Linked DNA regions of Bombyx mori. Each later gene encodes a partner of the first gene's protein in a complex. Links are inferred from orthologs where the notes say so. Each region holds a gene or a part of one and is shown in the gene's direction. Other genes may lie near its edges. The genes, in order: splicing factor 3B subunit 2, E3 ubiquitin-protein ligase RNF113A, U5 small nuclear ribonucleoprotein 200 kDa helicase, protein CWC15 homolog, pleiotropic regulator 1, serine/arginine repetitive matrix protein 1 and pre-mRNA-splicing factor ATP-dependent RNA helicase DHX16.

Region 1 (3,989 bases):
TGAACATGTCAATGATGTTGTCGGATTGTTGTGGATTTTTGTTTAAAGGATTTTATGACGTGGGTGGGTACTAAGACCTTTAGGTTATGTCTTATTTTAATTTATATTCTTATTTTTATGAAAAATGATAATATAGAGTGAAATGAAATAAAGATGATTGATTTGAGACGTAAAAAAAACTGGGATGAAATAAAATTAAATGAGGTGAAATATAATCTCTCTTTTGAAGTCGTCGTGGCCTAACGGATAAGACGTTCGGTGCATTCGTGTTGAGCGATGAACCGATGTTCGAATCTCAGGCGAGTACCAATTTTTCTAATGAAATACGTACTCAACAAATGTTCACGATTGACTTCCACGGTGAAGGAATAATATCGTGTAATAAAAATGAAACCCGCAACGGCTTTGTTTCATTTTCCTACATTTGTGCACTTTCACATATATTAAACAGTTAATAAACTACTGTTATTACACATTTAAACATGAAGAAACACTAAATAGACAAAATAAAACAAAACACACAACTTCACTCCTCGCGTTCCCGCCAAAAAGTCTCGATTGTTGTGGATAACATCTTATTTCATAATACGCGCGATTGTGGAGACCATTTCAACATATTAGCTGGCTGCAACGTCTAGGCAGTACCAATCGGAACCTATTATCGCTTCGTAGCAGAAATAGACAGGGTGATGGTACACGTCTGTGAAAGGTTAAAATTCTCGGAAAGTTGTTCTATGTTAATTGACACAGTTACTCGAAATATAGTATATAAAACAGATTTTTTTTCATCATCATCATCATCATCATCAACAGCCCACAGTCGTCCACTGCTGGACATAGGCCTCTCCCAATCTACACCACTGAGCCCGGTCGGCGGCTCTCCTCATCCACTTCTCAGATTTTTTTATTCAAATGTAATTAATAATTCCCCTGGTTGATTTATTCGAATCTAAATGGTACTAAGTTAATTGAAATAGTACAATAAATTTCCCAGTAACAAATTTAATATTTCTGAAGTGAAAACATTACATAGCTATGTAATAAATATTTTAATTTTAAAACATTTTTATATTTAACTAGGTGTACCCGTCCGCTACGCTGGGCATTTAAAATTAACATTACTATTTCTCACCCCCACAAAGATTCTCATCATTAACGCCCCCGCAACTGGTGTAGGGAGTCCAATACTCATATAAATATTAGCCTATCCATTAAGTACATGTATTGTCTACATGGATACCAAGTTTCATGTCGATCGGATGCATGGTTCAGTAGTTATAACGGAACATCCGTAAAAACCACTGTAGATTTATATATTAGTATAGATTATTAAATACAATATTTGCTAACGAAGGACATTAAATGTATTTTTATAGGTACCACCGCCGTGGTTGATCGCGCAGCAGCGGTACGGGCCGCCGCCCTCGTACCCGAACCTCAAGATCCCCGGCCTCAACGCGCCCATACCCGAGGGGTGCGCCTTCGGCTACCACGCCGGGGGGTGGGGCAAACCGCCCGTCGACGAAATGGGAAAACCGCTCTACGGAGATGTCTTCGGACATCAGACGAGTGGACAAGATGTGAGTTGGACTTTGTCATACTTTTTTTTTTAATCCTCCTTTGCTGATAGCCTTGAGAGGCTATATCAGCGTCGCCTTAACTAGTAGGTGAGCTCACGGGGCTCAAACCTGATGAATTTTGTTATACTACGTTGCGGATGAAATATTAATGTCGTGTGGCAATGATAATAAGGCTCAAACTCTTGCAACATATCCGTAGAAACTTTGACTTTTTCAAAGATGATTCCTTTTTTTTTCATTTCTTTCCCCTATTAAATATTACAATAAACTCATATTAAATGTTCTGTGCAAATCTCTGAATAATTTTCTGAATTAATCTCATAATTGTCAACATCACATAATAATTAATTGACCGTCTATCTCATATTAAATGGTTACCAGAACCTGTAGATATCATAACGAGAATTCTCCTACCCCCTTTGCGTACATACAAGACTAAAGTCTCAATCATGTGATACCTCATATTGCAAATTGAAATGCACAAATGAATTATCTCATAATAAGTACATAATGTTAATGTAATTTATTGTTTAATCTTAATTCTCTAGGACGGCGAAGACGTGGACATCGACAGGACAATGTGGGGCGAACTGGAGTCTGAATCAGAAGAAGAGTCGGAGGAGGGTCAGTATTTGGGTGCTCTTTTTTTCTTTGATTGCACGTATGCGGATCCCTCGGAATGATTTGCAAATATTGCACTAATAATAAATTAATATTCAACCCTTACAACCCTTATCGAGGGGCGAAAGGTTATTTGCTTCAAGCGACATTTCGCAAATTTACAGGAGAGCCATTTAAAGTTTTAAACTGGGAAAAGATATCATAAAAAATCAAGCTTTTTCAGCTATTTGAATGGAGTAAACTTAATTGAAGTCCAAAACATCGAACTGTTGATGCTAATATCAAATAAAACGCATCTTTAATTGCAAAGATAAATGAGTCGACTATTATCAAAGCCGGCAATCTGACTTTTGGATAATTATTGGTAAATCAGAAAAACGAATTATTGACTTTGTATTCCATTGGCAGTCACAAAACTCTTCAGAAAGACATCTTAGATAAATAACAGGTTAACTATTAACCTTTATTTAATGCAGGTTTTGAACCGTATTCTTTGAAGGAGACGATTATATTCAAATCAATCTGTATTGACATATCAATAATTTTTTTTTGTCCAAATGCACAGATTGCCACCTTTGATAATAGACGACTCAAATGTCGCTTACACCAAATAGCCTTTTACCCTTCAAGGTGGGCTCCCGGCCCGTCGAACGTGGCAATCCATAGCATATCACATAGATCCCGCCGGCGACACGACCGCCGGTCCGGCGTCTGGGGTACGGCGGGATGGATGTAATCTGTTATGCGTAAACCCTGTCCCGCCGTCTCAATAACTCCAACTGGGCTCCGGCCTGGTCCGAGGTAGGGCGCCGGCTGTGAGCGGCAGGAGTTTTTAGTGAGGTTCAACTCCCACATAACCCACCCGCTGCGCGGATGGGGATCCGGCGATTTTCTCCTGTGGAAAAAAGCCTTTGATATGTAAATAATAAGAAAATACGTTTTAAAATTTCGTTAATTTTTCACGAATTCATACAATTAATGTAAATCTATTTCTTTCTTCCCGATCCGGAGTACTACGACTTTGAACCGAAATCATTAATATTTTTTTTAAGTGATTTTATGACCTGGTAACTAAGACCTTTAAGTCATAAAGTTATTAATTCATTGTTAGTGCGATATTTGAAAATAATTCCGCATGGCGATTAATCTGTCAAAGTCGAATAACATTGCAATGAAAATGGTGAAAATTTCGTCTTGAATGTATGCTGTATACAGAGGAATCGGGCGAGGAGGGCGAGGCAGAGATGGGCGGGGTCGGCACTCCCGCGGAGGGACTCGCCACGCCGCTCGGACTCAGCTCCGTGCCGCCCGGACTCGAGACTCCCGACAGCATTGAACTCAGGAAAAAGAAATTGGACTCCGATCTTGACGGGTAATTCGTTTTGAGTAAATTCGCAATTTTGGCGGGAATGCGAGGAGTGAAGTTGTGTGATTTGCTTTATTTTGTCTATTTAGTGTTTCTTCGGGTTTAAACGTGTCATAACGGTGGTTTATTAACTGTTTAGTATCTGTAAAAGTGCACTAATCTGGGAAAATGAAACAAAGCTGCTAAACGTATCTCGGGATCCTCCAAAAAGTCCACTGAAAAAGTCTCAGTAAACGACCACCATTTTACTGAGATTATATTTCATCCCATATCATCTCATCTAATTTCATTTCATGCCAATTGATTAAGTTTCCTTCGTTTTTTATTATTCATAAACTGTAAATAATTAAAACGACTAATTATAAAAATCTTAGTACTTGACGCTGGCTAATGCACAAACCGTGCCGGAACTAAAAACTAAA
Region 2 (4,564 bases), on another chromosome or scaffold:
ACAATACTACCTACTCATCAAAATTAATCACATTTTTACAAATCACGAAAGGCGAGTATGAAAAGTATTCTGGGCTCTTCAGAAAAATTATCTCTTATCATACTACATAATTAGTGATCATTCTTAAATGTTTTTTGTGGCAGCCATTAATGGTGTATACAAAATAATTTATCTATGCGAGCACACAATACCTATACACAATTATTATTTTTACAGTTTGCATTTTATTACACGATGTCATTCTTTTATTGTGTTTCATAAATGTGCACTTCTCATAACGGTCATCTAAGAAATACAAAACGGGGCCGCGTTGCAGAATACGGCAATATTAAGCCTGACAAGTGACAAGCAATCAGTGAGCGCTGTAACCTGTGACGTTTTAATACAAGGATCGATAAAACTAGACTGAGTTTTTTGTGCATTCCTTAAAATATCAAGTCGTCGTGCCCTAAAGGATAAATCGTCCGGTGCATTCGTGTTGAGCGATGCACCGGTGTTCGAATCCCGCAGGCGGGTACCAATTTTTCTAATGAAATACGTACTCAACAAATGTTCACGATTGTCTTCCACGGGGAAGGAATAACATCGTGTATTAAAAATCAAACCCACAAAATTATAATTTGCGTAATCACTGGTGGTAGAACCTCTCGTGAGTCCGCAAGGGCAGATACCACCACCCTGCCTATTTCCGCCGTGAAGCAGTAATGCGTTTCGGTTCGAAGCGTGGGGTAGCCGTTGTAACTATACTGAGACCTTAGAACTTATATCTCAAGATGGGTGGCGCATTTACGTTGTAGATGTCTATGGGCTCCAGTAACCACTGAACATCAGGTGCGCTGTGAGCTCGTCCATCCATCTAAGCAATAAAAAAAAAATTACACCCTAAACCTTTTAGCATTCAATATTTCCAGTTTGTATGGTAAATTATGATTCCACTTCCACTTTATTTCAAGGCAGCTAATGACTTTATTAATTTATCTATTTATTATTACTATAAAAGAGACATGAACATCGTGATAAGAATAGTGTTTATTATGTCCATTACAATGTTTGAGTTTTAACTCTGGTTTCAACTTTTAACAGTAGTAGTAGAAAGGGCTTAAGTGTGAAAAAAAAAAGAATTCCTCAATGTGGCTGTGTGGCTGCTCGGGTCCCTTCCAAATTGCCTAGAAGCCTCAATAAGTCTCCGCTAATTTACTGACAGGCTATTTTATTTCATCTTATACAACATGTACGGCTTTCTCTTATTTAACCTTATTATTCCATATGCTAATTTAAGTTTTGATTTAACTTCAGGCATTGCTATAAATGTTTAAGCTATGTTGTATGGGCAGTATTCCCTCCATTCAATAGACAAATCATAGTTTAAAAAAACAACTATCCGTCAAAATCAATCACATGTCAATGTTAAAAATGAGCATTATTTTGATCATTGCCAATATTATCATGTTGTGAAATGCAAAAATTAATTAAAAACCCTATAAATACCGACAATACTTGAAGGTCCTAAAGTGAAATACAGTACTTTTATTTAGTATTATTGTGTCCTCATTAATGATTATGTAGATATTACTCTAATATCGTAGTAAGCACACACTAGGTTGAATAAACAATCGTTCAAAATGTCAGACGCCGAAGTGGAAGTACTCAGTACTTTTAAAAAACGTAATATTAAGAATAGGGGTGGCAGAAAACGTAAAACTTCCAGTTCAGAAGGTAATATTGATCGTTAAGTTATTAAATTATTCTCCAAACGAAAGACATCTAAGAATAGTACATTAAAACTATCTCATCGCTTCTTCATATCCTCTTTCTCACTGTTCCCAGACCCCCGTATTATAAGTGCTTTTATTAAGTGTATAACTACTAACTATAAAATTATAATTATATGTAGCGCATTATTCTCTGTACATAATCTTTATTATAATATGTAAGTTTGTAGTAACATTAATTTTGTGTTAGTCCCAGGCACCATTAATATAGCCAAAATTGGATACTTTTTATAATATAAAGTGTGTTTAAATAGCTCGACAATGTTCCATATGTAGCCATAACACGACACTGGCAGAAATTGCTGGCAGAAACTATCGGCAGATTACCATTATAAAAAAAATATATCGACGCTTGAAAGGCAAAAGTGACTAAGCGACAATAACTGCTTTGCACATAAATGATAGGCAATAACCATATTCGATCCGCAAAAAATATATATTTCTAGGTCTATTAAAATTATTTCAATCCTACAGCTACTAGCTAGTTTCTACTACAACTGGATTCGTTAAAATAAATTTTGTTTTCATGTATTTCAACTTTAAATTAGTCTACCGTAAAGTTCACGCATTGTCGCTTAGTCACGTTTGCCTTTCAAGTGTCGATATATATTTTATCATATGAGGCCGTCAGCGCAAAAGCAGCCTAAGCGTACTATAGTTATTATGGAGCAATGAGGCTTTAGTTTTCATGAATTTGAATTTGAGTTGGCAAAAAAAACAATATGCGCTAAAATAATGATTACAAAGCCATCTGCTTTCTATGGGTGAAACTATGGATAGGCCGGTTTTGCATAAAAATTTATTATATATTAAATAAATTGCAATATACATGATTATAAGCATGAAAAATTGTGGGTTAGGCCACTTTTGCGCTGACAGCCTCATATATACTTGATATTTTTTTTTTTTATAAATATAAATATTTACTAACAATCACTCCACGTTAACTGGTCCCGTGCTAAGTTCGTAAAGAACTTGTGTTACAAGTACCAGATAACGGAAATAAATATAATATTTTTATTATACACATATATATATATATATATATATATATTTAATATACACCCATAACCCTGGAAAGACATTTATATTTATCATACAAATATCTTCCCTTGGCGGGATTCGAACCTGCGACCCCCTTGTGTAGTGACCATGTCACTTACCACTACACCAGACGGCTGCTTAATATATAATTTAATATAGTAACGTTTCAGAGAAAAACAGCTCGGACTCTGATGAGCAACAAGTAGTTCTACCAACGAAAAGGGTGAACAAACCAAATCCAAACATACAGTCTACAGGAGGTCCGAAGAAATCCAAAATTGATGTAATTGAAGATAATGATGATAGTAATGATGAAGAAAAGGTATAGTAACATTAACAGCTCATCATCATCATCAACTCACTTGGATATCATCAGATTTGATAATCTGATCTATAATGAGATCTGCACCTTTGAAGCACCAGATATAAGATATCATAAACAGGCTGTTGGTCCATCTTGTAGAAGGCCTACCCACACTTCAAATCTTCACATACTTCATACATATTTAGATATATAATAGCCACTTGAGAACTTTTGGTTCCAACAGCCTGCTTGCTGCCATTTCAGCCTTTCGGGTTGTCTTTTTTTATTCCTTAAGTTCTTAAGTGGTTACAGGAGCCCATAGACATCTACAAAGTAAATGCCGCCATGCATCTTGAGATATTTGTTAGTGTCTCAGTTATATCTCCACTGAAATCAATATTATCAACAATTAGAGCAGTTTATCTTTACTTAAATCTGGCACACATCTTTTTATCTCTTTAATCTTTTTACACGTCATCTTTATGTTGAAGTCTTGTCTTCTGTATTGAACATAAAAAAAAACCGTTTTAAGATCCATTTAGATCAACATAAGCTTACAATTCTTTCAGACTTCTCAAAGGACAACACTATCGGTTCAACAACAGAGAGAGAATGCAACAGCTACCTATGAATTAGACACAGAAAAGGATAGAGATGCCCAAGCCATCTTTGAGAAGGCTCAGAAGATCAATGAAGAGTTGCACGGACAAGCAGATGATAAGGTATCCATTTCTTCTTCTTCTTCTTCTTCTTTGTCGTTTCCTCATTACTGAGGATCGTGACCACCTTGGTCCAGTTTTTGCACCAGCTTCCTCCAATGTTGCCTGAGGGAGAATGCGGGAGGGACAGCGTAACCGCTCTAATGTTAAAGAGCCTAGGCTCGGATGGTACCAAGATTTTACACTCCATTTGCCAGAAAATATGGCGTACTGGCCAGTGGCCTGAAGACTGGACGGAATCAATGTTAATTCCTCTCCATAAAAAAGGCTCCACGCGCAAATGTGAGAACTACAGGTATCCATTTAACAGTATTGAAATCGCACACTTCGTGGTTACTTTAGTGACAGTTAGCTTATAATTTTTTATATGGTTAATACTTATCAACCATACCGTACTAACTTCCATACCAACTTCTGCATATCTTAATAAATTATAATAAAATATGTGTGTAATTAAGTTGGTTCTTATTGAGTGCCTCCTCAAACCTGGCTAGTCAACAAAGTGTAAATGTCTGTAATGCTACACTGGAACTTAGTAATACTAATAAAGTTATAAATTATTGGTCCTGTTTCGTAGATGTATGCAAATCTAGTATATAAAAAAACCTAAGGAAGGCATATGTCAGAGTATCATTAACTTAAGACTCACTTCTTATCTCATACACAATAAAGTGTAGAAGGTCCATTAATATTTATTATAAAATTCCAGATATATCGTGGGATAA
Region 3 (3,989 bases), on another chromosome or scaffold:
TGAAAGTGAAAGATGCTCATATGTGGGAAAATAAAACAAAGCTGCTGGATGTAACTTCTCGGGATCCTCCAAAAAGTCTACTGACAAAATCTCAGTAAATGACCACCATTTTACTGAGATTATATTTCATCCCATATCATCTCATTTCATTTAATTTCATCCCGGTTGATTAATATCTCAAATTAATCATCTTCATTTCATTTCACTCCATGTTATCATTTTTCATATAAAAATAAGAATATAAATTAAAATAAGACATGACCTAAAGGAATTAGTTACCAGGTCATAAAATCACTTAAAAAACAAAAGATTCTATACTAGCGTTTTTCATTTATGCCTTAGACCAGGGGTTCCCAAATTTATTTTCTCTACTGCCCTACTTTGAGAATAAATTATTTTTTTGCGCCCCCATTATTTCACCTACTTAAAAACCACTATAGCGATAGCTCAGTCCTGCTAGATTATAAGTTACAAATCGCTTCCCAAGCCTCTATATAACGCCCCCATTTTTTTTTCTGGGTCTCTTACCGCCCCCCTTTAGGCCTGCAGCGCCCACGAGGGGGCGTTTACGCCCACTTTGGAAAAGGCTGCCTTAGACGGTGTTGTCACTAATTTGCAGGCACCTGTCGGACCACCTCTCCGAGCTGGTGGAGACTACGCTGACGGATCTTGAGCAGTCCAAGTGCATCGCGATAGAGGATGAAATGGATGTCCAGCCACTGAACTTGGGGATGATAGCCTCATACTACTATATCAACTATACGACCATAGGTAACCTGGGCTTCTTTTTTTTAACTGTTTAAATGGGTGGACGAGCCCACCTGGTGTTAAGTGGTTACTGGAGCCCATAGACATCTACAACGTTAATGCGCCACCGATCTTGAGATATAGGTTCTAAAGTCTTAATATAGTTACAACGGCTACCCCACCCTTTAAACCGAAACGCATTACTGCTTCACGGCAGAAATAGGCGGGGTAGTGGTACCTACTCGCGCGGACTCACAAGAGGTCCTACCACCAGTAGAAACTCCTTCTCTCGGGACTGTTCCTCCACCTAGAGCCGGATCCGCTGGTGTATCGTATATGAAAGGCTCATGAGGGATCAGTCTTGCTTCGAACAGCCTTATAGCATCTTGGGAAGACGGGAGTTGATCATAGCGTTCCCACAAATATTGTATCAAGTCTTGAGTGAATTTTATTTATAAATTTTCTTAGACTTCAAGGCGATGATTTAAAAAAAATGTTATTTCTTTCAGAACTGTTTAGTTTGTCTCTGACGAGCAAAACGAAGATCCGCGGCCTGCTCGAGATAATATCGTCGGCGGCCGAGTACTCGGACCTCTGCATCCGACACCGGGAGGAGAACATCATCAAATCTCTCGCCTCCAAGTGAGTACACGTTCGGTTTGTTCGTCATCTTCATGTCATTCTTCAAACGCAGCGGTCGGGGGGAACCGGGGTGAATTACCCCCAAATGGGGTAAAATGAAATTTGAGGGGGGTAAAAATAAAATAAATAAATATTTAATAACAATCACGCCACGTTAACTGGTCCCGTGCTAAGTTCGTAAAGAACTTGTGTTACAGGTGCCAGATAACGGAAATAAATGTAAGATTTTTATTATACACATACATATATTTAATATACATCCATAACCCTGGAAAAGACATTTATAGTATTTATCATACAAAATATCTTCCTTTGGCGGGATTCGAACCCGCGACCCTCTTGTGTAGTGACCATGTCACTTACCACTACACCAGACGACCGTTTGAAACTTTTGTGAGTAAAAAGTATATACCTATCATCATTCTACTTATGCAACAAAGTGTGGAGGCAGGGAATCTGTAAATTATGCCACATGTTTAAATTTAGGTATTATTAGATTATTTTTTTATAGATTAGTTTATATTATTTTAGTTTTAGAAGTTTAGTTTATTATTTTATAGATTAGATTAGTTTATAGATTAAGAGTCATTCCCGATCCTGCGGACAGAATGGAAAGCAGTCGACGTCGCCCAAAACACGTCATCTCGGATCCTCCCGATCCACTAACAGTGCTGTTAGGTACAATACCACAAGCACCGGTCCCGGTCGAACCCGTCGCTTGCGACCAAGGGCTCGACGAGTAAATTAACTCTCAGACACAGCCCACTGAGTTTCTCGCCGGATCTTCTCAGTGGGTCACGTTTCCGATCCGGTGGTAGATTCTGCGAAGCACGGCTCTTGCTAAGGTTCGTGTTAGCATCGTCGTGAGGCTTGAGCCCCGCGAGCTCACCTACAAACGTTAGGGCGAAGCTGAAATAGCCTCTCAAGGCTATCAGCATAGGTAGGCAAAAAAAAAAAATTAAGATTACAGGCAGCGGCAGAATAACAGCGATAGTTTCAGCTATCACAAAGCTGAGCCGCGCCCTTTTTATCTCCACTGTCAGTTTAATTAATATATTGTAATATTGTTTAGATAGAATTAGAAATTGATGTCATATAAATTGAAAAGTTATTTGTATTGTGGAGTAAATAAATGTAATTATTATTATTATTATTATATTGAAGTGAAACTTCTTTAGAATCGTCAAATTTTTACTTATTGTTTTCTTTTCAAAATTATCATGGGGGGCTATAATATGAAAGAGGCTAAAAAGAAGCGATTTCGTTTTTTTTGTTTTTTTGTTCTTCACCATGGGGTAATTAATATCAAATTACACAAAAATATTTTGGGGTAACAATTAAAAAAGTTCCCTGACCGCTGTTCAAATGAGATGGAGGGTACTCACTCGGCATTGCTGTCGATGATCGAAGGCTACCTACAACAGACCTGTGAGATCAATATTTTTTCCTGTGAGATCATTATTATTTATTTTTCATTTTTTAGTTGAATTTTAATCTTTTTTTTAATATTGAATTGTCATCGGTCCTTAATAAGTATACCAAATTTCGAGTTAATCCGACGTTATGAAGGGGGGTCAAAATCATGTTTAAAGATTCCGTTACAAACACACATACGTCTGAAGCTAATAAAAGCGTATGAAAAAAAACGTGTGCAATTCACACGTGTAAGAAGTGAAACCTTCAAAAATTAAAATATTCTAAATATTCTAAAATGTCTAAGTATATGTAAAATTTTGTTAGTTGTTTTTTTAGTTAAAATTTCGTTAGTAAATAATTGTAAATCATCTTTTATAGTATGAGGTAGTGCCCTCTGTGAATTGATATTATAACTTCACGTCTAATGTGTTCTATCTCGTTCTCTCGCCGGCTGAATCGTATACATTTATTTGTTTGTGTCTCTATGGACTTATTTTTTCGTTTCATCGAGTTTCAAATCACGACGATTCTAAAGAAGTTTCACTTCAAAATAAGGATGGAGTCGAAAAGTTTTCCTACGTTTGCCGCTAGGGGCGCTGTTCTAACTGCATACAAAATTAAGTTAACTTTTACGCTATCGAGAACATTGACGCACTCGCACTGAGCATCCCCCCCCCTGTCCCCGTCCGTTGCAGGGTCCCGCACAAGCCGACGGCCCCGTCTGGCGGCGCCGTGCGGCACAACGACCCGCACGTGAAGGCGCACGTGCTGCTCCAGGCGCACCTCTCCAGGATGCAACTACCCGCCGAGCTGCAGGCCGACACCGCGCTCGTGCTCACCAAGGTACGATCTTTGCACTCTCTTTTAACCCTTCGACTGCCATGTATTAAAGGTCCAGAGCGCCCTAGGCAATCACTTTATCTGCGCCCCTGTACCGGCCATAAATGGCCACCATAATAGTGTAAATATAAAAATGAATTGCTGTTCGTTAGTCTCGCTAAAATTCGAGAACGGCTCGACCGATTGGGCTAATTTTGGTCTTGAATTGTTTGTGGAAATCCAGAGAAGGTTTAAAAGGAAGATAGATAAATATGAGAATGCTTGGAATTAAATAAAAATAACAATTTTGTTTTTATTTTGATTTGTTTGTTGAGACACTACGAAGTCTGCCGGGTCAGCTAGTC
Region 4 (4,153 bases), on another chromosome or scaffold:
GGTCAAGGCCGAGGAGAGAAAGACTTAAGTGCTATTTCTCGACAGTATTCCAGCAGAGATCTTCCTGGTCATACGAAACTTAAATACAGGTTAGTTTAGTTTTATTTCTCGATCTAAATTTGGATTCCTATTCGCGAAGTTGGACTTACGACCCGCGTGGTGGTAAGTGCTTAACGGACCTCATAAAAAGCCATCTTGAGACAAGGTAGAGTACTTGAATTATTGTTTTAGAAAATACGCTACCCTTCAAAACCACAATGTATAACTCGTTCAAAGCATAAATACCACGTTTGTAATGCACCAAAATGTAAAGAAAAAGTCAAATATTAAAATCTATTTTAATAGGGAATCAGGTCAAGGGACATCTGAGGAATTACGCTCTCGTGATTTTCGTAAGGAGTTGGATGATAGAGAAAAAGATGTTAAAACTACGACTACAAAACGTACAAGTGAACCACAAGCAAAAAGAACTAAGGTTGATCAAGTTCCTGCAGCAAGTCTTGATGCTGATGATCCTCTTGAAGGCGATTCCACTGACTCTGATGATTCAGATGATGATACTGCTGCATTGCTAGCAGAATTAAACAGAATTAAGAAGGAAAGGGCCATTGAACAAGCTAAAAAAGTAAGATATATCTTAGATACTAGAGTTAGATACTATACTATAAGACTATTTTTGTACTGATGTACACAAAGTATGTTTAAATTAAATTTTACAATATATATTTTTTTTAATTTGTCTAACTTTAGTGTACTTTAGTGTATTTTGATACCCAAACTAAATAAAATTCAAATAACAAATAAACCTTGTTGCACAAATCAATTTTGTTTTACCTTATAGGAAGCTGAAAAGAAACAAGAAGAGGAAAGAATTAGAATGGAGAACATATTATCGGGTAATCCTTTACTCAACTACTCCGCTGCAGGACAGAAGAATGACATGAAGGTAATTAAAAACATTAAAATGAATTTTGTTTTAACTCCTGATAACTGTTTGGTGATTGAACTGAACTGCAGATGTCATTGATGTTGTATTTATCAATGTTGAAGTAATTGTGCCCTAAAAGATAAAGACTCCCGGTGCATTTGTATAAAGCTATGTGACTGTGCCGGTGCTCTCATCCTGCAGACAGGTACCAATGGTAATGAAATATATACTTAACGTAAATTGACAAATGATTTCCATCATGAACAAATAGTGTTTAATAAAGATCGAACCCACCAAAATTATAATTTGCTTAATGAATGGCAGTAGAATGGGGTAGTAATGTGTTTTCGTTTGGTATAAAATCTGATATTTAGAACTCATGTCTCATAGTGGGTGACAACATTTAAGATGTCGATTTCTATGGGCCATGAACTTAATTCACCCATCAAAGGAATAAAAAAAGTGTAGATGACCTTTAGTTTCTGCAGTGGGTAGGTATTCATTTGTTGTAGTACAAGTTCTTCATTCTGGCTAGTCAGTTTCATGATACTACATTATTAAATTACACATTGACCAGGATTATCTTGATAAATAATTTAAATGCATCTTTTAATTGGCATTTGTTGTTTTGCTGGTGTTTTGTTTTTGTTATTTTGTTATTCCATAGTAACAATACTATCTGTGTTTTACTTTTTTTATGGCATATTTATGTGTTTGTATGTTTATGTATGTGTTGTATGTTTCTGTTCTGGTACACTATGGTACTTTTCAAATCTGTTTCAAGATATTATTTTTCATTCTTCCAAGTATGTCTAGCATTGTCTTTTTGGTGTTAAGTGGTTATAAACTTGGGTCTCACTTAGATTATAATTATTCAGAGCTTTTGTTGTGTATTGGTATTTTAGATATCCTTGCCATATGATAATAATATGATGTGTATTGAAACATGTGCAAATAATATTCAATCAGTATCTGTTTTGATATCTCATTGGTGAAGTATACTGACAACTACCAGATAACCCTTTTATACCAGGTTGGCCATAAGTTTGTTCACCTATCTATGCTATAAAAATAACTATTAAAACGTATTGTTGCTATTGTTTTCGGTTTACTTGTATTTGAATCAATATCATTGATACTCCACAGGGAATACTTTAATAATGCACAAAAAAATTATTTTTCCTTTCATTATGCATATGTAGCGGCAGATATTGAGGATTCAAGACTATTAAATAATTTCATTTAGACTTTGGTTGATTCATTATTTTACATTTTCGGTTCTATAAACACTGGTTGCTGTTTTGACACCACAGGGACTGTGATTTTGTACACCCACTAATAAATACCATACAAAAATGCAAAAGTAATTGAAAGTGATTTTAAGAACATTAACATAATCTGCTCAAGCATTGGATGAATCCGGTATTGGAACGCCCAGAGGCACCACTCAGCACAACTCGTCATTAGGCCTCTACATGATATCATTAGAGAGAGACTGACTGAGTTATGAGAGTCACAACCTTCATCTATGAGGGTCGATTAAGAAGAATTTAAGAAGTCGTCGTGGCCTAAAGGATAACTCATTCGGTGCATTCATGTTGAGCGATGCACCGGTGTTCGAATCCCAGGCGGGTACCAATTTTTCTAATGAAATACGTACTCAATAAATATTCTCGATTGACTTCCACGGTGAAGGAATAACATCGTGTAATAAAAATCAAACCTGCAAATTTTAATTTGCGTAACGACTTGTGGTAGGATCTCTTGTGAGTACGCGCGGGTAGGTACCATCCCCTAGCCTATTTCTGCCGTGAAGCAGTAATGCATTCCGGTTTGAAGGGCGGGGCAGCCGTTGTAACTATACTTGAGACCTGAGAACTTATATCTCAAGGTGGGTGGCGCATTTACGTCGTAGATGTCTATGGGCTGCAATAACAACTTAACACCAGGTGGGCTGTGAGCTCGTACACCCATTTATGCAAATAAAAAAAAAGGACAATCGTAATATTATATCTATATTTTTTTTGGGTTGTTCCAGGTAAAAAGAAGATGGGATGATGACGTTGTTTTCAAAAATTGCGCTCGTTCTGAACCGGAAAAGAAACCTAATACTTTTATAAATGACTCATTAAGATCAGAGTTCCATAAGAAATTTATGGAAAAGTACGTGAAATAGTAAATCATTATTGATATTGTAATTCTAAATTTAAAGTTGTTAAAAGCGATTCTATACCTTATTGTAAGCGGAATAGTGATAACGAAGTGGAAATGCTACTATGGATATTACAAACACGTAAAGAAAAGATTGACGAAAACCAATATAATTTTAGTAAATATTATGAAAAAAATGTCATTTTGTTGTTTTGAATAAATTATATGAAAACAAATAGTATTTTATAAAGTTTATTTTCAAGTTAATGTCACGTTACTGATAAAAAGTAATGTTTGTTTCCTCAACAACAGATAGAGGTCAGTTCATTAGCATAATGTGTCTAATTTACTCATATAACAACGAACATTGCTTTCGGGTTCGAAATTTGAGACTCAACTTCTGAGTTTCAGTGGTAAAAATCTTGGTAGTTGGGGTATCCAAACTAAATTAGGGAAGGTATTAAAGAGATTAATTTACAAAAAATTCAAACTTACTGCCCCGATTTGATAATCAATACGCCACCCGTTAAAGTACATAACTGCATTGTTAATGGTAGTAATAAATAATTATTAAATTAACTTATTAACATTCGGAGTTCGGACTGACCAGACTGACGTGTCCGGCGAAGTTGAATGTTTTTATTATTGCGGCGTTGTGAGTGAGGCGTGAGAGGGGAGGCAGTGGTAAGTGCGGAGCAGGCGGCGGCGGCCTACCTTGAGTGGGCAGGTCCACAGCTAGATCCCGCGGCTGGCCATGACGCGTCTCACATCTCGTTAACTCGCCACTAGCCAGTCGCAGACGCTCTCACAACGAATATGGCTGGTTTTGTGCAGTTGGTGTGTGCGTGTTTTGCATTGTTTACTGTGGTCACCGATGCCATACTTTCCGGACTTTACATTGACAATGGTGTTGATCAGACGATAATTCATCATACGATTACACGACACGAGCGCATGGTAGTAGAACATGAAATTTTAGATCTTTTAGGCTTAGGAGAAAGACCCAGAAGATCTAAATCTCCACCTTTGGATCGTTCGGCTCCAAGTTTCCTGTTGGACGTTTATAAGCAACTG
Region 5 (4,526 bases), on another chromosome or scaffold:
AGTAGGTATCTAATTACTTAATCTAATTCGGTTTTCAGGGCTCGTGGTGGCTGCAAAAGCGGTACAGCGAAAGCCAGTGGCTCCAACGCATTATACGGTGGCCCGGCTCTGGATTCACGAGTGCTGTGGGCGGCCCTCACGCCGAGAGGCACGAGACACTTTGTCGCCGACACTTACCCGCACGACGATACGGAGGACCACCACTACGAGTGCGTCGAACCCCCTCTCTACAAACTCGGCCCACCCGAAGACTTGGCCATCACCCGTCACTTCAATGTTGAATACGAAGACCCGGCGCCCCTGATAGAAAATTACAGCGATAGAGCTGAGGACTACTTCCGTAACGGTATCGAGACGCTGCGCAGAACGAGACCGCTCGTGTCATCGCCAACCAGGATCGAACGCCCCAACTTGCCTCCTCTGAACCTTCAGCCGAGGACGCTGCGCCGCGCGCCCCACTCCCGCCGCGTTAGCGACGCTAATAATCCAGAGAAATCGGCCATCTGAACCGAGAGTGGCGCGGTATTCTCCGTCGCCGATACAACTGAAATCGATTACGATTGGCAGTCGATTGAAAATTCGAACGTTGACCGTCTCGTTTAACAACCGTACTATTGACTCTTGTTTCACTGAGTGTAATGCTTTTTTAGTTTTGAAAAATCGTCGTCGAAATTTCTGGTAGTTCAGTGATTAACATTCGTTCATAAATACTAAAATGCTCTTTTACGGTAATTGTGTGTTTATGTAAATATTGTGTATGCACTTATTAAGTATTCCAAGTCTGTGTGTTGAACAGTACAATGTGCTTAGTACCATTTGTATGGAGTTGGAACAGCGCCTTTAGCGGCAAACGCAGAGTAACTGCCCCAGCTCCATACAATTTTGAGTAACTTTTACACGATCGAGAAGTTAAAACAACTCGCACCAGGCACACTGTACAATGTAAATAATACTTTGGAGGATGTTTATTGTATGTAATTTAACATAACAAATAGCTATCATTAAATCAATAAATATTCGAAAACTAGTGAGCAGCTGTATCTAGTCTAGTTTCTAGTCTGTAAGCACAATTTCTAGTCATGTTCGTACCTACTTGTGAATTTAGAGGTAAATATAGATATAGTCCACTGTGTATTTTATTGAAAATCAATTCCACAATTTTCTTCGCAATGAATTTTTATGCTCGAATTTTGTACTTATGAATAAAATCGACGTTGTGTAAACAGTGTTTTTTTCATTTCTAGGAGCAAACTCTAATTAAATTATTGATAAAATTCTGAGCCAAATCCGTACTTTCTATCCGTCACAACAAGCATAAACAACAAACAATAAATTTTTTCTTCAAATACCCTTTAGTATTTCAGCTCAATAAGAGGAATTTAAAATGTTTGTTTTAAAACAATTAAAATGGTAATTTCAAAAAATCATAATAATTATGTTTGTTGCAGGCTAATCGAGATTTGCATTCATTTGCCCAAATTTTTTATTATCTGTACAGTGACACTTGACAGTGACGCTGCTCATACCGTCCATTTGACGTTTGTTTGACGTAGGATTTATTTTGTAGGAAAGTTGTTGCTGTTTGTTGTCGGGTATTTCTTGGTCTCGACACCGTTAAAACCAAAAAGCTTTTCGTAAGAATCATAAGGAATATGCATTAATTAAAAATAAAATTGAATTTAAATGCTGATTTAATATTACAAGTTAATAGTATTTCGTATTCTTTAAGTAATTTTAGACATTAATTAATAACTTCATAATGTCTGAGGACGTGATTAAACATTCTGTACACACTTTAGTGTTTCGATCGTTGAAAAGATCGCACGATATGTTCCTAGCTAATCAAGGAATGTTGCCGCCAATCGACGATAAAGCGTAAGTAAAACAGAATAATATTATTTGAGGTTAGTTTAATACAAGTCCTAATGGAAATAATCGATGAGCTATTTCAAAGATCGGTACAATAGACAAACTAAGCGATTTGTTGTTCCGTATCAAAAAATTTCTGCTAAACCTTTAAAACTTTCTACTGTACTGGAGAAAACCTTTATGGGAGCAGACAATGTTGTCAAGGTAAATAAATTAGAGGAAAATGTCACGTTATGTATAACTACATAAAACACTAGAGTAGATAATTATTATTTATAATTTTACATTAACAGAGAGAAAGTACTGAAATTGGTTAAAGCAAGAGATAGTTACGGACAAGTCATGGGTGCAGTGCGGAAGGCTCAGGCCCTGAAACAACAAGAGTCTGTCACCTGTAGACCTGAAACTCCACTGACCACAGGTAAAAACAATTAACAAACTCCTATATACGGTTAAGCGCTTAGGCTCAGGATAAATAAAACTTCCACTGAAGTACATATTAAAACTCTATTTAAAACTAAGAACACTTACCAAACACTTTACAATTCGTAATTCACTTCTTCCGCTTCGCTTCAGGTGATCCGTTTGCTGTTTCGCTTTGAGTAGATCCTTTTAATAACTGCTTTCATGTCATCTCTGCAACGCTTTTATAGTCAATACGATATCTCTACAAAAATCGAGAACATTCCAGAAATATGGATCAAATACAGAAACAAAAAAAAAATTATTCATTTTTATGGAATTTTTTTTACAACAAAGTTGCATTTTCGTTATGATAAAAAAACAGCAAGAATTTAGCTGTGGACCTCATGAGTTCTATGCTCATTACATTCAATAAAAAATCGGTCCAATACTCCTTGATATTGCAATGAAATAAATCGAATGTTTTCTTTAGCAGAAACAGTGGAAACTGCACCTTTGCCGTCGGAAGGGGCTGTTGTCCCATACTCTGGACCAACACCTTCACCGTCACCAGCTCCCCCCTCGGGGGCTTTAACTGTACCACGGAAACCGCCGTCTATGCCCAAACCAAAATGGCACCCACCCTGGAAATTAATGCGTGTTATATCAGGTCATCTGGGTTGGGTTCGATGTGTTGCTGTAGAACCTGGAAATGAGTGGTTTGCTACCGGTAAGTAAAATTATAGAAACCACATACAGAGCAAACTAATGGCATCTAATATGCCAACATTTAACTAATATATTTAATCCTTTTAGTATAAATTAGAAGAAGGATATGTGGTAAGAATTATAATTACAAATTTGTCAATCTTAAAAATTTTATTAATATAAAGTTTGATTTTTACATATTAAATATACTTATTTATAAGACTTTTTTATCAATACAACACAAAACATAAACTTTGACAGTTAGATAATCAATATATTGTATTTGTGTAGACAAGCTGTTGTCCTATGAACGGTTGAAAAAATAAACTTGATTTATGATTAAAGTTACTTCATTTTTCTGTTATAATGAACTTTTAGCACAACCATTACAATAAAACCAATCCTAAGGAATTAATCTGCATGATGGTTTTGATATTTCAGGTGCCGCTGACAGAGTGATAAAAGTATGGGATTTAGCAAGTGGGAAACTAAAAGTATCTCTCACTGGACATGTGAGTACAGTAAGAGGTAGGTGCGCACACTTTTTGTATTCATGCAAAAATCAATGCTTGGTTTTCAGATTTTGAATAATGAACGCATTTTTCTTTTATTGCCCAGACAAGCACACTGCCCACCTGATGGTGAGTGGTTACCGTCGCCCAGGAACTTCAGTAATGCCATGGGCTTAGCCAAGCCGCTGCCTACTAAATTAGTAATTTTTTTAGCATCATCAGCCTGCGGCAGTCTGCTGCTGGACATAAGCCTCCCCAAAGCTCGCCACTAAACCCAATCTTCGGTTCCTTAATTAATTTAGTAATTTTTTATTTTAGTAATAGTAGACATTTTTAATTTTTTCAAACTTTTGCTGCTATGTATATTACAGAATTACATAACAAGTTCTGATCATAATTTTCACATTAACACAGTTCTGGATATTTCATCATGTTGTACGCACAGAGACCGTAGGTTGAGTCTATGTTAATTGTGAAAATCATGATCTAAGAATCCATCAAGTACCAGTATGTGTAATATGAATATATTCTATTTCAGGAGTGGTAGTGTCACCAAGACATCCATATTTATTCAGCTGCGGTGAGGACAGACAGGTGAAGTGCTGGGACTTAGAATATAACAAAGTGAGTTATTGACCTATAAATAACAAAAAAATATAGGTTAAATGATATGTCTTTAAATATATGTAAAGAAAACTTTTATTATTTAAAACTATTTAGATTTTAAAAAGGATTTTTCTTCAGTGTTATTCAGTGTCATGGAGTGAAGTGAAAAAGAGAGTTCAGTTTTGTATAGTTTATTATTAATAATATGTACTGTTTACTCTTTAATTGAGGTTAAGGGCTTTATATGTTGCTTTCTTACTATATCACAGAAACCACAACTAATTCATTATTGTTTATTCATTCTGAAATACTCCATATAATTATATGTATATAAAGCAGATGAATTTTTGTATTTAGGATCGGTTCGTTGTGTGTGCAGGTGATCCGGCAGTACCACGGTCACCTGTCGGCCGTGGTGTGTCTGGCGCT
Region 6 (3,989 bases), on another chromosome or scaffold:
AAGAAAATTAATACTTTGGTTGTAAAATGAAAACACATTACGTGAAATAGGAGGAGCAGCAGAACAAGGACAAAGACAAGGAGCGACGGAGATCGAGGTCCCGGTCGCGTTCCCGGCGCCGCTCTCGCGACCGACGGCGCTCGCGAACTCGTTCTCGTGATCGTTCCAGTGACAGAAAGTTAGTAGTAGACGTATATTTTCCAGGTAGCAGCATCCATTGCTGGTGGTAGTAGGGGTGGATTGCACATGGATACTTAATACTATGCTGCCCATTTAATAATACAAAACAATAGTGTGCTTAGTTGAATAGCGGATCCTCTGAAATTAAACGCTTAAAATCATTAACAGAGTAACAGTCGCCGTTTATCACTATGCCCACATAGTGATAAGGAGTAAGCATTTGGAATATATTTTTGAGAATGTAAAGGTTGTCTGTCATACATATATTAAATTAGTAAAATTCGAGTTAGTCTATTCATGGAGTAAAATAGAATATAAAAGGGGTTACTACTGAAGAGCAGTAGAATCACCATGTGACTATTTTCTGTTGGTTGTGCACATTCGGAATTACATTTATTTATCGCCAGTCAACTGATTAATTAGGAGTAGTAGTAGTATATATTGTTTTATTAAAATTGCGTGTTGCTAATTAGTTACGATAATTACAAATATTTTTTAAATTGTGTTCTTGTACTGTTAATTGTTAAATAGCAAAATATATTCGTATGTATAATTTAATAAGAAAAAAAACTGTCAAAATCATAATTTTAGTTTTAACCTGGGAAATGGTTAAAGAGCTACCATTGATCTATCTCATTGCTGAGTATGAGTCACCACCCCCAACGTGGTACAAAATCGTCGCCCAAAACACGTCATGTCGGATCATCCCGTTCTACTAACGGAGCTTTTAGGTACTTCAAGCACCTGTCATCGTCTAACCCGTCGCTTGCGACGAAGGGCTCGGCGAGTAAATTAACCCATAGACACAGCTCACTGGGTTTCTCGCCGGATCTTCTCAGCGGGTCGCGTTTCCGATCCGGTGATAGTTTCTGCGAAGCACTGCTCTTACTAGGGTTAGGTTTGAGACCCCGTGAGCTCACCTACTTGTTAAGGTTACGCTGGTCTCTGAAGGTCATCAGCTTAGACAGGAAAAAAAAGGTACGAAATGTGGAGCGTGTAGCTGAGGATGATAGCTAGTTAGACATAAGATAATGACCATTAAAATTACTCTAGGCATCGTAACGGCGGAAGTCCGCGTCGATCGAGACGGCGCAGCAGCCCGATCAGAGACAAGGTCAGCCCTGCGAAAACTGAACCGGAAACCAAAGGTACTGTTAATGTAGACGTAAATAAAAATACAATGATAGTGATAATGTTAACATAATAAACTTGTTGGTGTGTTGTTTTCACTTAAATATGATTGTATTGTAAGATTTTGCTTCTGTTATCGTTGCGAAGTAAAATGTCTACATTATCTTTTGTTAACTGGTTATGGGGCGTATTGTAAGCCCGCACGGGTAGATACCACCATTCGGTGTATTTGTGCGGCAAACTAGTCCTGCGTTTCAGTTTGAAGGGTTGGATTGATGTTATACAATGCAATTACTCTTGGCGACTCATATTTACTGTGTTCATATATTATAACGAAATTGTATATTATAACAAAATTGAGACTTTTTTTTTTTTTTTTTTTTTTTTTTTATTGCCTTTGTAGGCAGACGGGCATACGGCCCACCTGATGGTGAGTGGTTACCGTCGCCCATGGACTTCAGCAATGCCAGGGGCAGAGCCAAGCCGCTGCCTACCGCTTAATACTCTCCACAAGCCTCGTTTGAAGAAGGACATGTCATAGCGCTCGGGAAACACCGCGGAGGGGAGCTCATTCCATAGCCGGATGGTACGTGGCAAAAAAGATCTCTGGAAACGCACTGTGGATGACCGCAGCGGCTCCAGGTAGTATGGATGAACTCTACTCCGGTGGCGGGCGGTGCGATGGTAAAAACGAGATGCTGGTATCATCTCGAACAATTCCTCAGAGCACTCCCCATGGAACATACGGTATAAAATACAGAGGGAACCGAAGTCCCTCCGCAAACCCAGAGGCTCCAAACGAACCGAGAGAATGGGATTATCGACAATCCGAACGGCCCTCCTCTGTATGGAGTCAAATGGAAGAAGCTGGTATTTGGGAGCCCCGGCCCAGAGATGAGAGCAGTACTCCACGCGAGGCCGGACTTGTGCTTTATAAAGCAAAAGTCTTTGTCCAGGCGTGAAGTACCGCTTCGCTCTGTTGAGGACTCCCAGCATTTTGGACGCCAACTTGGCTTTGCCTTCCAAATGACTCCGAAACTGGACATCGCTCGAAATGTCGACCCCAAGTATCCCGATACTCTCGGAAGGTTGCAGGGATACTCCTTGGAATTGCGGCGCCATGACAAAGGGGTCCTTCTTCGCAGTGAACGCGCAAACTTGTGTCTTTATCGGGTTGAATTGAACCAAGTTCAATTCACCCCATTCGGAGACTCGCCCCAGAGAGTTCTCCACTTCAGACACAAGTTTTGATCGTCTCTCTTGCACCACGCTCCGAGAGAGACTCTGATGGCCGATATATCGCGCATCCCCCGTGCTATCATCTGCATAGCAATGCATGCCATCAATAGACAGCATGTCATTGATATACAGGATGAAAAGCGTGGGGGAGAGCACCGAACCTTGTGGAACGCCAGCGTTAATGGTCATGGTATCAGAACAGTCACCGTCTACAACGACCGTGATGCTCCGCCCATCCAAAAAGCTAGCGATCCACTTGCAGAGACCCTCGGGGATTCCGTAAGATGGTAACTTCGATAGAAGTGCCCTATGCCAGACCCTGTCGAAGGCCTTCGCGATATCAAGGCTCACAGCGAGAGCCTCGCCCTTGCTCTCCAAGGCTTCAGCCCACCTGTGAGTAAGGTATACAAGAAGATCGCCAGCTGAGCGACCGTGACGGAAACCGTACTGTCGGTCACTGATCAGCTGGCGATCTTCAAGATACTTCAGGAGTTGTGTATTTATAATTCGCTCCATCACCTTGGAAAGCAAGGAAGTTATCGCGATAGGCCTGTAGCTCGATGGGTCCGACCGGTCACCCTTCTTGGGGATAGGGTGGACATGAGCAGTCTTCCATGAAGACGGAACCTTGTTAGTGCAATAAGAGAGGCGATACAAACGCGTTAGCGCAGGTGTCAGCTCAGGGGCGCACGTTTTCAAAACCACTGCGGGGATGCCGTCTGGCCCACTCGACTTATGAACGTCCAGGAGTCGGAGCTCCCGCCTGACTGCACACTGTGTGAAGCAGATATCCGGCAGGGAGCTATCACACCAGGGGATGCTCGGTGGTGTGGCACCCCCGTCGTCCATAGTCGAGTTCGAGGCGAAGAGTTTGACCAGAAGGTCAGCCTTCTCTTTCGCGCTGTGGGCCAGATTGTCATCGGACTTGCGCAGTGGTGGGAGACTAGACCTGCAAAAGTTTCCTTCTGCAGCTTTGGCGAGCGACCAAAAAGCACGGCTCCCGGAGGGATAGCTCTTCAATCGCTCGCCAACTCTAGCAACGTGCTCCGACTTCGCCTTGGCAATTACCTTCTTGTAGGACCTGGAAGCGGCGTTATATTTCCGCCTTTCCCCTGAGATGTTAGGATCCCGACGTCTCCTGGCATTATCCCATGCCACGTATGCGGACCGCTTGAGGTGTGCAGCATCCCTGCTGGCATTGTTATACCAGGGTCTGCTGCGACCCCCAACGGGCACTTCAGAGGAGGGAATAAACAATTCCATCCCCTGGAGCACCACGTCTTTAAGTCGGTCCGCACAGACGTCAGGATCAGCAGAGGAAAAGCAGAACCGCTCCCATGGGTAGGATGCGTAAAATTCACGCAATCCATCCCAATCTGCTGACATATACCGCCAAACTCTTCGATACCCGGTCGTCGTTCGACGATCAGGACGAGAGA
Region 7 (3,989 bases), on another chromosome or scaffold:
CCTTGCATTTCAGTACACACTCTGTTAATTATTTCACACCAGATGAAATTGAACAATAAAATTACAGCCAAACAAAATACTTAAATTTTAATTATAAATAACTTATTTTAAGATTATTATTATAAAGTGCATTTGGTTAAAACAAAATTAATAGTTTAAAATGTGTCATATCATTTGTCTTTATAGCCTAACAAAAAGAGAAAAAGAAGAAAGGGAACACAAGAAAACTTTATTACAATTAGCTAAAGAACATGAAAAAGCAAGAGAGTTAGAAAATGTTCAAAGATATCATATGCCTCGGGACTTGGGGAAAGGGGAAAAAGGTAATTATCCAAAATTACAAAGAAACCTTTCAAATGAAGAACTAAACAAAGCTTCAAACCTTAAGAGAAATTTAATTATGTAAAATATTTAATTATGTATTTCAAATTATGGGATGAAAAAAACTTAGCTGACGTTAATAAAATGAAGGTTTAAATTATGGACAAAAAGTTTTTCAAGCTATGAACAAAATTTCTGAAATATTTTCATTTTATTAATGATGTTGTTTGGTAAATCATATAGAGTTTAATTGTGAAGTTTCAAATATTCAGTTTGGTCTTAAATTTCTATATTGTTTATTTCTCATCCAATACTTTCATTTTAAAATTTCAAAATTTACAAATCAACAAAACAAAAGAAAATAATTAAAAAATTGTAATCAGTAATAAATTATTTGCTTGTACATCTTGTATATAACCTACTAATTGTATATTACAGGTGAATATGTTGAAGTTGATGAAAATGAGAGGTTGCCACATTCTGAACAGCAAAAATGGGAACAAGAACAAATTAAATCTGCTTTCTTTAAATTTGGTGCAAAAGATGCTAAAGCTACAAATGAATATGATTTATTACTGGATGAACAAATTGATTTCATACAGGCTCTTAAAATGGAAGGTTCTGAAGACAAAAAGGAAAAGTCAGAAATATCAGAATATCAAAAAATTCGAATGACCATTGAAGAAACAAAAAAATCACTTCCAATATATGCGTTTAAACAATCACTTATTGAAGCCATACAAAATTATCAAATTCTAATTGTAGAAGGTGAGACAGGATCTGGCAAAACAACACAAATACCTCAATATCTCCATGAAGCTGGTTTCACTAAAGATGGGAAAAAAATTGGGTGTACACAACCTAGGAGAGTAGCTGCTATGTCAGTTGCTGCAAGAGTTGCACAAGAAATGAACGTAAAACTGGGAAATGAAGTTGGTTATAGTATAAGATTTGAAGATTGCACATCTGATAGAACAGTAATAAAGTACATGACAGATGGAACTCTTCATAGAGAGTTTCTATCAGAACCTGATCTAGCCTCATACAGTGTAATGATCATTGATGAAGCTCATGAACGTACCTTACATACAGATATATTATTTGGTCTTGTAAAAGATATAACCAGATTTAGACCTGATTTAAAATTGCTTATATCCAGCGCAACATTGGATGCTGAGAAATTTTCAACATTCTTTGAAGATGCCCCAATTTTTAGAATCCCGGGAAGGAGATTTCCTGTGGACATCTATTACACAAAGGCACCCGAAGCAGATTATGTAGATGCTTGTGTTGTATCAGTATTACAGATTCATGCCACACAACCTCTTGGTGATATATTGGTTTTTTTAACAGGACAAGAAGAGATTGAAACATGTGTTGAAATGTTACAAGAAAGGACGAAGCGTATAGGCAAAAAACTGCGCGAGCTTTTAATATTACCAGTATATGCCAATTTGCCTAGTGACATGCAAGCTAAAATCTTTGAACAAACTCCTGAAGGAGCTAGAAAAGTCGTTCTTGCTACAAATATAGCTGAAACTTCATTGACAATTGATAATATTATATACGTAATAGACCCAGGTTTTGCCAAACAAAACAACTTCAATTCCAAGACTGGCATGGAAAGTTTAATTGTTGTTCCCATTTCTAAAGCATCAGCAAATCAACGAGCTGGACGAGCCGGAAGGGTTGCTCCTGGAAAATGTTTTAGATTGTACACAGCCTGGGCATATAAATATGAATTAGAAGATAATACTGTACCAGAAATTCAGAGAATAAATTTAGGAAATGCAGTTCTCACTTTAAAAGCTTTAGGCATCAATGATCTAATACATTTTGATTTTTTGGATCCACCACCGCATGAAACATTAGTTTTGGCTTTAGAACAACTTTACGCTCTGGGTGCACTTAATCATCATGGAGAGTTAACAAAAGCAGGCAGAAGGATGGCTGAATTTCCTACCGACCCCATGCTCGCGAAAATGTTGTTAGCTAGTGAAAAGTAAGTAATGTAAACATAAGTCATTCTCTCATAACTAACTTTCATAATGAAGGATTAACTTCTTCTTTTTCTGCATCTTACTATCAGCCAACAGCTCAACACTCACTACTCTCTCTCTCTCTCATATCGTCATTCACACACTCCATCCGTCTTCTTCGATCGACCTCTTTCCTCTCTACCTTGCACTACCAATTCCGTACATCTCCTAGTCACATGCATCTTCTCTCTACGCATCACACGTCCATACCACGCTAACTATCCGCTTTTTAATTTGTTAATTACCGGGGTTACTTTCATACTTCCTCTGATATACTTATTCCTCATCTTATCCATTCTTGTCACTCCACACATCTATCTCAACATTCGCATCTGGAATGAAGGATTTACATTGTGTAATAACCTGGTAAATTTTATAAATTTGTATAATGACTAGTGATAGAGCTGTTGTGGAGATATCGATAATTTTATTATAACTAATGTACAACACAATCAAATCAACAAAACTTTTATTCCACACTTTATACTACAGACTTACAGATTGTGGGTGAAGAAGTAGTTAGTAGCTGATAAATGCGAACGCGTCCACTCATACCCTCTAATTAAAAGCAGTTCAGATTGTCTCAAAATCACTTTAATTCTCACATTTTTCTTGTCTTACAGATATAAATGTTCTGAAGAGGTTGTCACAATTGCAGCAATGCTATCAGTAAATAGCTCCGTCTTCTACCGGCCTAAAGATAAAATAATCCATGCAGATACAGCAAGAAAAAATTTCTTTCATCACAAAGGAGATCATCTGACAATTATGAACTTATACAATCAGTGGGTTGCTTCAGATTATTCGGTGCAGTGGTGTTATGAAAACTTCGTGCAGTATAGATCGATGAAACGAGCTCGAGATGTTCGTGAACAATTAGTCAGCCTGATGGAAAGGGTAGAAATTGAAATGGTTACAAGTTTATCTGATGATACTAATATAAGAAAGGCTATAACGTCTGGTTATTTCTATCATATAGCAAAATTTTCAAAAGGTGGTCATTATAAAACTGTAAAACATAATCAGGTAACGAAACTTAAAATCTTGATAGTTAAAATAATGTTTTTTTCTTTTTCTTATAAATCTATCCAAATATATTTATTGCTTTCAGACAGTTATGATACATCCTAATAGTGCTCTATTTGAAGACCTTCCACGATGGGTGATTTACCATGAGCTTGTATTTACATCTAAAGAATTTATGAGACAAGTCACCGAAATTGAGAGCAAATGGCTACTGGAGGTAGCGCCTCATTATTACAAATCAAAGGAATTAGAAGATTCAACAAATAAGAAAATGCCCAAAACATTGGGGAAATCTGCAAAAAATTAGTAAAAATTTGATTACAGTAGATTCAATAAAAGTTTCCACTTTCTCCGTTTATTGTTGATCCTGTTCTTCGGTTTTCATAACACGACATTCCACTTTTTTTACACTTCCTTGTGATTTAAATGTAGAACCAATGTTGGTAATTCTTTATGATAAAATCATCTATAATTTGTTAAAATTTAAAATGATGTCGCAGATATTTCAAGACACGTTTGTTTTATGGCAAATGTGCTCACGGTTCATCTATACCGAAGTCTAGACAAAACACATCATGAACGCCGGAACCTCCCTGGAAACTT

Evidence for each region.
Region 2: splicing factor 3B subunit 2 (region 1) and E3 ubiquitin-protein ligase RNF113A share a complex: the UniProt entries of both Homo sapiens proteins name them as parts of the minor spliceosome. The link is inferred for Bombyx mori from reciprocal best matches to the Homo sapiens genes SF3B2 and RNF113A.
Region 3: splicing factor 3B subunit 2 (region 1) and U5 small nuclear ribonucleoprotein 200 kDa helicase share a complex: the UniProt entries of both Homo sapiens proteins name them as parts of the minor spliceosome. The link is inferred for Bombyx mori from reciprocal best matches to the Homo sapiens genes SF3B2 and SNRNP200.
Region 4: splicing factor 3B subunit 2 (region 1) and protein CWC15 homolog share a complex: the UniProt entries of both Homo sapiens proteins name them as parts of the minor spliceosome. The link is inferred for Bombyx mori from reciprocal best matches to the Homo sapiens genes SF3B2 and CWC15.
Region 5: splicing factor 3B subunit 2 (region 1) and pleiotropic regulator 1 share a complex: the UniProt entries of both Homo sapiens proteins name them as parts of the minor spliceosome. The link is inferred for Bombyx mori from reciprocal best matches to the Homo sapiens genes SF3B2 and PLRG1.
Region 6: splicing factor 3B subunit 2 (region 1) and serine/arginine repetitive matrix protein 1 share a complex: the UniProt entries of both Homo sapiens proteins name them as parts of the minor spliceosome. The link is inferred for Bombyx mori from reciprocal best matches to the Homo sapiens genes SF3B2 and SRRM1.
Region 7: splicing factor 3B subunit 2 (region 1) and pre-mRNA-splicing factor ATP-dependent RNA helicase DHX16 share a complex: the UniProt entries of both Homo sapiens proteins name them as parts of the minor spliceosome. The link is inferred for Bombyx mori from reciprocal best matches to the Homo sapiens genes SF3B2 and DHX16.

What each region holds. Positions count from the first base shown.
Region 1 is NC_085131.1:3,909,873-3,913,861, forward strand, and holds part of splicing factor 3B subunit 2, read left to right. Parts: intron 1-1,376; coding exon 1,377-1,580; intron 1,581-2,128; coding exon 2,129-2,204; intron 2,205-3,416; coding exon 3,417-3,573; intron 3,574-3,989. UniProt on the Homo sapiens protein: Component of the 17S U2 SnRNP complex of the spliceosome, a large ribonucleoprotein complex that removes introns from transcribed pre-mRNAs.
Region 2 is NC_085108.1:7,585,847-7,590,410, forward strand, and holds the start of E3 ubiquitin-protein ligase RNF113A, read left to right. Parts: upstream 1-1,372; 5' UTR 1,373-1,622; coding exon 1,623-1,716; intron 1,717-2,986; coding exon 2,987-3,138; intron 3,139-3,689; coding exon 3,690-3,842; intron 3,843-4,548; coding exon 4,549-4,564. UniProt on the Homo sapiens protein: Required for pre-mRNA splicing as component of the spliceosome. As a component of the minor spliceosome, involved in the splicing of U12-type introns in pre-mRNAs. E3 ubiquitin-protein ligase that catalyzes the transfer of ubiquitin onto target proteins.
Region 3 is NC_085130.1:11,240,269-11,244,257, forward strand, and holds part of U5 small nuclear ribonucleoprotein 200 kDa helicase, read left to right. Parts: intron 1-619; coding exon 620-771; intron 772-1,256; coding exon 1,257-1,389; intron 1,390-3,500; coding exon 3,501-3,648; intron 3,649-3,989. UniProt on the Homo sapiens protein: Catalyzes the ATP-dependent unwinding of U4/U6 RNA duplices, an essential step in the assembly of a catalytically active spliceosome. Plays a role in pre-mRNA splicing as a core component of precatalytic, catalytic and postcatalytic spliceosomal complexes.
Region 4 is NC_085110.1:8,228,276-8,232,428, reverse strand, and holds the end of protein CWC15 homolog, read left to right. Parts: coding exon 1-89; intron 90-345; coding exon 346-625; intron 626-841; coding exon 842-946; intron 947-2,966; coding exon 2,967-3,104; 3' UTR 3,105-3,315; downstream 3,316-4,153. Other genes in the region: protein 60A, read left to right, coding at 3,896-4,153. UniProt on the Homo sapiens protein: Involved in pre-mRNA splicing as component of the spliceosome. Component of the PRP19-CDC5L complex that forms an integral part of the spliceosome and is required for activating pre-mRNA splicing.
Region 5 is NC_085129.1:1,617,332-1,621,857, reverse strand, and holds the start of pleiotropic regulator 1, read left to right. Parts: upstream 1-1,530; 5' UTR 1,531-1,759; coding exon 1,760-1,875; intron 1,876-2,162; coding exon 2,163-2,290; intron 2,291-2,764; coding exon 2,765-3,001; intron 3,002-3,420; coding exon 3,421-3,507; intron 3,508-4,029; coding exon 4,030-4,115; intron 4,116-4,476; coding exon 4,477-4,526. Other genes in the region: uncharacterized protein LOC101740918, read left to right, coding at 39-507. UniProt on the Homo sapiens protein: Involved in pre-mRNA splicing as component of the spliceosome. Component of the PRP19-CDC5L complex that forms an integral part of the spliceosome and is required for activating pre-mRNA splicing.
Region 6 is NC_085128.1:8,258,014-8,262,002, forward strand, and holds part of serine/arginine repetitive matrix protein 1, read left to right. Parts: intron 1-50; coding exon 51-178; intron 179-1,233; coding exon 1,234-1,328; intron 1,329-3,989. UniProt on the Homo sapiens protein: Part of pre- and post-splicing multiprotein mRNP complexes. As a component of the minor spliceosome, involved in the splicing of U12-type introns in pre-mRNAs. Involved in numerous pre-mRNA processing events.
Region 7 is NC_085110.1:11,481,854-11,485,842, reverse strand, and holds part of pre-mRNA-splicing factor ATP-dependent RNA helicase DHX16, read left to right. Parts: intron 1-186; coding exon 187-323; intron 324-759; coding exon 760-2,323; intron 2,324-2,983; coding exon 2,984-3,386; intron 3,387-3,471; coding exon 3,472-3,693; 3' UTR 3,694-3,989. UniProt on the Homo sapiens protein: Required for pre-mRNA splicing as a component of the spliceosome. Contributes to pre-mRNA splicing after spliceosome formation and prior to the first transesterification reaction.